Linked DNA regions of Xenopus tropicalis. The protein of the gene in region 1 binds, or shares a complex with, the protein of each later gene. Links are inferred from orthologs where the notes say so. Each region holds a gene or a part of one and is shown in the gene's direction. Other genes may lie near its edges.

Region 1 (4,361 bases):
CCTTCCCAGAGGCTATTATCCCCCCACTGCTACTATAGGCACCATCTCTCCCTACTATACCTGCTATCCCACAGCCCCAGTCCCTTCCCAGAGGCTATTATCCCCCCACTGCTGCTATAGGCACCATCTCTCCCTACTATACCTGTTATTCCACAGCCACAGTCCCTTCCCAGAGGCTATTATCCTCCCACTGCTACTATAGGCACCATCTCTCCCTACTATACCTGCTATTCCAGTCTCAATCCCTTCCCAGAGGCTATTATCCCCCCACTGCTACTATAGGCACCATCTCTCCCTACTATACCTGCTATCCCACAGCCCCAGTCCCTTCCCAGAGGCTATTATCCCCCCACTGCTACTATAGGCACCATCTCTCCCTACTATACCTGCTATCCCACAGCCCCAGTCCCTTCCCAGAGGCTATTATCCCCCCACTGCTACTATAGGCACCATCTCTCCCTACTATACCTGCTATCCCACAGCCACAGTCCCTTCCCAGAGGCTATTATCCCCCCACTGCTACTATAGGCACCATCTCTCCCTACTATACCTGCTATCCCACAGCCACAGTCCCTTCCCAGAGGCTATTATCCCCCCACTGCTACTATAGGCACCATCTCTCCCTACTATACCTGCTATCCCACAGCCACAGTCCCTTCCCAGAGGCTATTATCCCCCCACTGCTACTATAGGCACCATCTCTCCCTACTATACCTGCTATCCCACAGCCACAGTCCCTTCCCAGAGGCTATTATCCCACTGCTACTATAGGCACCATCTCTCCCTACAATACTTATAAATAAAGACGTGAATTTCAATGTTTTGCTTTCCCCCCATTATAATGAAGTGAAATGATATTTTCTGTGGCAGTTTAACAGGTTGTAGCAGTTTCCATGCCCCACTGTGATACCTTCACTAAAAGGAAATCTCGCATCATTAAAGAGCAGGCACCTGTGCTGTAAAAAAAAACCAATAATGTATAATGAGCAATTTATTGATTTAATGTGTTAATTAAAAGTCAGCGCATTGGTTGTCGGATTTTGTCCCTTCCCTTATAAAAGAAAGCTGTGTAAGGGGGAAAAGATGCAAGCACCTGAGCTCCCCACTCCTTTGCCAAGTCTCCAGCTCTCCGATGTCCCCCTTGATGGCGGCCCTGCACAGCGACACAGTCCTCACGGCGCTACCAAATAGCCAATCACAGTCATTATTTGGCCTCCCCAAAGAACTTCTTTTAATGTTTCTGTGGCTCACAGGTAAAACAAAAAGTTGGGGATCCCTGGTCTAACCCCTTTGGTTATGACTGAATACAGTAAGGGCGATCCATACCCAATAAGAACATGCTTGGTTATAATGAAATAAACCTCATTTGTGTGCACGTTTTATCTCGATCACTGGTTATATTATAAACAAATCTTTGGTTTATCTGCACAGAAGTCTCTACCACTAAACATTTCAGCACATACTAATGCCAGCCTTAGCAGCTGGAACTGAGTCTGTAGGTACAGAGACTCCATGGCAACGTTACAGCAAACACCCAGCAGTAGTACGCCCCTCCCACCGAACTATCCCAGTGCGCGGTGCATGCTGGGAGTGCGATCCCCCGGCCAATGGCGGCGCTCACCGACGCTTAAGTCGTTCTCTTTCTGAACCTGTACATTTCTGTATTGAATGAACTATAGACTTAACCGCAGCTACCGAAGAGGGGACAATTGTTCGGGTTCCAAGCTTGGAGCTGTCGCCACTAAGCTGCGATGAGACACTCTGAGGAGAAGCAGAGGATGGTGACACAGGTCTGTGCTGCTGATACACTAACTCAGTGTTGCCGTGTGTGTATGTTGTGCAGTTTGTGCTACAGTTACATTGAATAAGCGAATGGAATTTGTTGCTTACGCTACTGCTATGTCTATGGAGTTCCTGTGGTTGCTATAGGCGCCTCTGTGCGGTTGCTAAGGCCAAAGCGGAAGTTGCTGCGTTGCATTGCTTCACTTTCACTTTAGCGCTCCATGTTGTTTAACTAAAACTCTCAGCCCTCCCAAAGGTGCAACTGGGGGTTGTAGTACAGGTATAGGACCTGTTATCCAGAATGCTCGGGACCAAGGGTATTCCGGATAAGGGGTCTTCCTGTAATTTGGATCTCCATACCTTAAGTCTGCTAAAAAATCAATAAAACATTAATTTTAACACCCAATAGGTCTGTTTTGCATCCAATAAGCATTAATTATATCTTTGTTAGGATCAAGTACAGGTACTGTTTTATTATTACAGAGAAAAGGGAATCATTTAACCATTAAATAAACCCAATAGGGCTGTTCTGCCCCCAATAAGGGGTAATTATATCTTAGTTGGGATCAAGTACAGGTACTGTTTTATTATTATAGAGAAAAGGGAATCATTTAACCATGAAATAAACCCAATAGGGCTGTTCTGCCCCCAATAAGGGGTAATTATATCTTAGTTGGGATCAAGTACAGGTACTGTTTTATTATTACAGAGAAAAGGGAATCATTTAACCATTAAATAAACCCAATAGGGCTGTTCTGCCCCAATAAGGGGTAATTATATCTTAGTTGGGATCAAGTACAGGTACTGTTTTATTATTACAGAGAAAAGGGAATCATTTAACCATTAAATAAACCCAATAGGGCTGTTCTGCCCCAATAAGGGGTAATTATATCTTAGTTGGGATCAAGTACAGGTACTGTTTTATTATTACAGAGAAAAGGGAATCATTTAACCATTAAATAAACCCAATAGGGCTGTTCTGCCCCCAATAAGGGGTAATTATATCTTAGTTGGGATCAAGTACAGGTACTGTTTTATTATTACAGAGAAAAGGGAATCATTTAACCATGAAATAAACCCAATAGGGCTGTTCTGCCCCCAATAAGGGGTAATTATATCTTAGTTGGGATCAAGTACAGGTACTGTTTTATTATTACAGAGAAAAGGGAATCATTTAACCATGAAATAAACCCAATAGGGCTGTTCTGCCCCCAATAAGGGGTAATTATATCTTAGTTGGGATTAAGTACAGGTACTGTTTTATTATTACAGAGAAAAGGGAATCATTTAACCATTTAATAAACCCAATAGGGCTGTTCTGCCCCCAATAAGGGGTAATTATATCTTAGTTGGGATCAAGTACAGGTACTGTTTTATTATTACAGAGAAAAAGGAAATCATTTAACCACTAAATAAACCCAATAGGACTGTTCTGCCCCCAATAAGGGGTAATTATATCTTAATTGGGATCAAGTACAGGTACTGTTTTATTATTACAGAGAAAAGGGAATCATTTAACCACTAAATAAACCCAATAGGGCTGTTCTGCCCCCAATAAGGGGTAATTATATCTTAGTTGGGATCAAGTACAGGTACTGTTTTATTATTAGGGCTCTGGTACACGGGGAGATTAGTCGCCCGCGGCAAAACTCCCTGCTCGCGGGCGACTAATCTCCCCGAGTTGCCTTCCCTCTGCCATCCCACTGGCGAACATGTAAGTCGCCGGCGGGATGGCAGACGCGGCGGGGCGATTTGCGCGAAATCGCGCTGCCGCGTCTGCCATCCCGCCGGCGACTTACATGTTCGCCGGTGGGATGGCAGAGGGAAGGCAACTCGGGGAGATTAGTCGCCCGCGAGCAGGGAGTTTTGCCGCGGGCGACTAATCTCCCCGTGTACCAGAGCCCTTACAGAGAAAAGGGAATCATTTAACCACTAAATAAACCCAATAGGACTGTTCTGCCCCCAATAAGGTGTAATTATATCTTAGTTGGGATCAAGTACAGGTACTGTTTTATTATTACAGAGAAAAGGGAATCATTTAACCATTAAATAAACCCAATAGGGCTGTTCTGCCCCCAATAAGGGGTAATTATATCTTAGTTGGGATCAAGTACAGGTATTGTTTTATTATTACAGAGAAAAAAAGGAAATCAGTTTTAAAAATGTGAATTATTTGATTAAAATGGAGTCTATGGGAGACGGGCTTTCCATAATTTGGAGCTTTATGGATAATGGGTTTCCATATAAGGGATCCCATACCTGTATAACAATTTCAGCAGAGAGACAGAACCCACCCTTGCTGCATAATATCTTACTGCTCTGTTATTTTTCCCCACATTGTGGTCTGTGTTGGTATCAGTTGCCCTTTAATTGCCAGCCGATTCTCACACTGCATTTATACTCCATGCCAAACTTATACTTGTTTTCACATTTCATGCTTTTTTTTTCTTTAGAGGCATTTCCTAGTGGCAATATTTAGGGGCCCATTCATGAAACCATGATTTTTTTTTCTTTCTAATTTTTAGAACTTTTCGTAATGACCACGATAATATTTTTAAAATTGCACAACCTTTTTGTGG
Region 2 (4,121 bases), on another chromosome or scaffold:
TACCCTATCTTTCTTTTGGTCTCTATCTGTACCTGTCAGTAACAGTGCACTCTCTCAAAAGAATGCTCTTTTACAAGGAAATGGGCAGAGACAAATGGAGAGATCTGATAAGAAATGCATACTGAGCATGCAGAATAAATCACTCAATGAGAAAGGGGTAAAATGGGGCAAACAGTTATCTTGTGAAGCAACAGACAGGATCTTTTAAAGACACTAAAATAACAGCATATGTTCCGCAAAAATTGGCTCATTACCAGCTTGTCTTGCAGTAAAGCAGCTTTAGCAATCTTTTATAACAAAAATACTAATGTATTTCTTGCATGAATTGGATCAACGACACCTTTTCAGATAGGGATATCCTAAATAAATTCTTCTGCGTTCATGTATCCAAGTATCTCCCTACTTCTTTTAAAATGTAATTAAATATTTTGGCCACTATGTCTGTCATAAAAGTGAATGCGTTTCGTCTGACGCTGCCATTCAAAGTTTCCAGCATTTTAAAAGCTGGGTTCTTTTTGGTTTAAAGGCTTTACATTTGGGGGTGTGACTACAAAGTGGGAGCAGACAAACGCATTTTCAGCATGGCCATGCTAATTCTCATTACACCCCCCTCAGCCACTAACTTGCTGAACTTTAAATGGACGCTAATATGTCTCTTGTATACGTAATGCCTCAGAACCCGACACGACACGACGCCCTATATCTGTTTAAGCAACGTTCCATTACACTATGTTGTATTATAAATCACAGATTGCAGTATTAATAGCTATCGTTTAATCCCAATACTTCGTCTCCCACAGACTATCAGTCTCGATCAGTTTACACATTTCGCCTACAACAGACGTCACTTCCGCCGGTGAACCAATCAGATCTGCTGTATGCAACGGTTGCACAGCAACAGGCGGAGTCTACCAAAGTGAGAATTAGAAGGGGCAAAAAGCTAAGACAAGGAGCCGGTTTTCAGAGGGGGTCCGGTGAGATTTATGTTGCAGTTGTGCGGTTAGGGGAAGCATTTATAGCGGGATGTAAAAGAGGGCGAAAAATATTTAGAGCTAATAAACTGGTAAAGCGCTTACATCTTACCCTACTGCGGTGTTATATACGCAAAGGTAGATATGATTCGCAGGTTGTCGGTATGGAGTCCTGATGATTTTGCACCATCATCCAAATATGTATCGTCAGTAATTTATATGCTCATAGCACACACAATGGCGCCAGTGTAGGGAGTGTAATGGGGGTATTACGTTTTCCAGCAGCTGATAGTTGACAAACAGAGGCTCTTGGCTGATTCTGTAAGTGTAAGCTGTAGGGCCCTCAGTTTAGGGATTCTATTTGTTGATTCTATAGTGCCTTCACTGTCAGTGTTCTATGTAGTTATGAAATTCACTGTACATGAATAGCCACACTCATGAATTACATTACAGCCCAACTTGTGCAGGTATAAGTAGGTTTTTTTTGCTTGATGTTGGTCATTGACCTGGTTAGTTACATATGTAATACACTATGCGGTAATGACAAATAAAATTATGCTTTCAAATTGGTTTTATTGGATGTGTAATGAACAGTTTGGTTATGACATGCCACGTCTTACAGGGCTTATTGCTGGGGGTTAGCTACATATACTAATAATATACGTAGTAATAACACTGCGCTAAAAGTAGGTAATAAATAAAATGTATATGTAATACTAATGTTCCTTCTAAGCTATGCATTTGTGGATATTTAAATTACGATGTCAGGGCACATGCATTAGAACCGCCCTTTTACATTATTGAGGCCACTAGAAAATAATGGGGGATGTCATATCCTTGAAATGTATTAATCATTATATTTTGGAGGGACCACAAAATAAAAAAACCTAAGTAAGGGATGAAAAATAAAGTTTTACTGTAATAAATTGTGGTGCGCAAAAAGAATTTTGTATGTAAAGGCATAATTTAGAATTTTTTTAGACTTGCGCATAGTTTTTATAAAAGTGCTCAAATAGGTTTAGGAAGTAGGCACAAAAGAAAGTTTTTGCACACACAGCCAAGAAAAAAAGGAAAACTTGGTCACTGAGGCTTGTATATTTATATTGGCGTCAGATGGTATAAGAAGTGTAATTTCTAGCTGTTATTGTTTGTTGGACCTACTTCTAATAAAAATTATAATTTAGTTTCTTCACAATAATGATGTAACTGAAATATATTTTACCTTTCCTCCTACAGTAATGGCAGAGGTTCACATCATAGGGCAAATTATTGGGGCTAGTGGCTTCCCCCAACACAGCCTGTTTTGCAAATGGGGAGTACACACAGGTAAGAGTCATCATTTTGCATTTTAAATGGATCTATATATCAATTGTACATAAAAAAAACACAGTTTTGTTTTTTTGTGGAGCTGTACGCTGTTGAAAATGTGGTATATGCATTCAGTTGGCCCCACTTTTATTCTAGTACAGGTATGGGATTCCTTATACGGAAACCCGTTATCCAGAAAGTTCTGAATTATGGAATGCCCGTCTCCCATAGACTCCATTTTAATCAAATAATTCAGAATTTTAAAACAGATTTCCTTTTTCGCTGTAGTAATAAAACAATACCTTGTAATTGATCCCAACTAAGATATAAATAATCCTTATTGGATGCAAAACAATCCCATAGGGTTTAATTAATGTTTTATTGATTCTTTAGTAGATTTAAGCTATGGAGATCCAAATTACCCTTGGTCCCGAGCATTCTGAATAATGGGTCCTATACCTGTAATATATTTTTAAGTTTGTGATGTGAAGAAGAAATATATGCGTCAGGTGACCCCTGTATTTATTCTAGTAATGTGAAGTGAAGGAGAAGGCTGTGTTTGTATAACTTAAAGCCCATTTTTGGCTTTACTTTACATAAACAATATAAAAGAGTCTTAAAGGAAATGTTAATGTTTTGAGAAAATCTTGATATATAAGATACTGGTGTGGCTCTATCTATTATTAACCATATGATATTTCTATTTGTAATAACATCGTTCCCTACCATAACATTTAGGTGGAGCCTGGAAGCTACTTTCTGGGGTTGTGGAAGGCCAGACACAAGTAGATCATCCACAAAATGATGACATGGCATTCTGGTCTCACCCTATTGACATGCACTTTGCTACTAAAGGATTACAAGGTAAAGTATGATAGAATAAAGAATAAAATAAAGAATCTGTTAAAATTATTGTAATCACATTGGAGCCCCTGCACAGGCTCCCAACCCTAACCCTACCCATTCAAATGAACACACTTTACCTACCAAAGGTGCAAAGTACATTATGTACTTTAAATGCTTGTATTTCCCCCACTTAGGTTGGCCAAAACTTCACCTTCAAGTCTGGCATCAGGACACATTTGGTCGTAATGAACTTTATGGTTACAGCTTCCTCCACATCCCTTCCACCCCTGGTACTCACTCATTGCTTAGCCCAACCTGGCGACCCCTGGGAACATGGCAGGAGCAAATATGTCAGATGTTTGTTGGCGGCGGCCCACAACTTAAGTCATCCAGCCTGATTTATGGAGGGTCTGATCGCTACCGTCTGCAAACAGTGGCCATGGGGCAAGTACATCTCCAATTAACGGTCATACTCAGGAACTTTGAACGATACGGGGTGGAGTGTTCTTGATTTTGCAGAGTGCTAAGAACTTGTTCCTGGTTTTCCAAATGATTATTTTTGGTGCCAAGGACATATGCACTGAAATAATCAGCAAGACATTTTATGGAATTACTTGTGAACACCTCAAACAGAATCCTGCTCAGTATTTAATGAGCCCCTTTTCTCAACCCTTCTTAATAAACCTGATACTTCATATCTCTTCTGTACCATAATCTGGTAACATTTATCCTCCTCCCCTTCTACTAACATCTCTTACACTTTCCCAAATTGTCTGTTACTTCTGATATTAGCCATTTTCCTCATTGTATCACTTTTTTACTATCCTTGCTTTGTTTTCAGCCCTGTTATAAAGCACACTCCCTTTCTCTCCTTTCATTTTCATAATACCTCATTCACATCAATCACTTACCAGAATACATTTATATATAAAGTAAATTGAATGTTTTTGTTTTTAAATACTTTTCAGGCTCTTTTGACGATTATCTTAAATCAGT

Evidence for each region.
Region 2: cc2d2a (region 1) and b9d2 share a complex: the UniProt entries of both Homo sapiens proteins name them as parts of the tectonic-like complex. The link is inferred for Xenopus tropicalis from reciprocal best matches to the Homo sapiens genes CC2D2A and B9D2.

The regions. Positions count from the first base shown.
Region 1 is NC_030677.2:27,856,329-27,860,689, forward strand, and holds the start of cc2d2a (coiled-coil and C2 domain-containing protein 2A), read left to right. Parts: upstream 1-1,554; 5' UTR 1,555-1,751; coding exon 1,752-1,790; intron 1,791-4,361. UniProt on the Homo sapiens protein: Component of the tectonic-like complex, a complex localized at the transition zone of primary cilia and acting as a barrier that prevents diffusion of transmembrane proteins between the cilia and plasma membranes.
Region 2 is NC_030684.2:79,325,656-79,329,776, reverse strand, and holds the start of b9d2 (B9 domain-containing protein 2), read left to right. Parts: upstream 1-1,321; 5' UTR 1,322-1,392; coding exon 1,393-1,438; intron 1,439-2,207; coding exon 2,208-2,297; intron 2,298-3,017; coding exon 3,018-3,143; intron 3,144-3,319; coding exon 3,320-3,636; 3' UTR 3,637-4,121. UniProt on the Homo sapiens protein: Component of the tectonic-like complex, a complex localized at the transition zone of primary cilia and acting as a barrier that prevents diffusion of transmembrane proteins between the cilia and plasma membranes.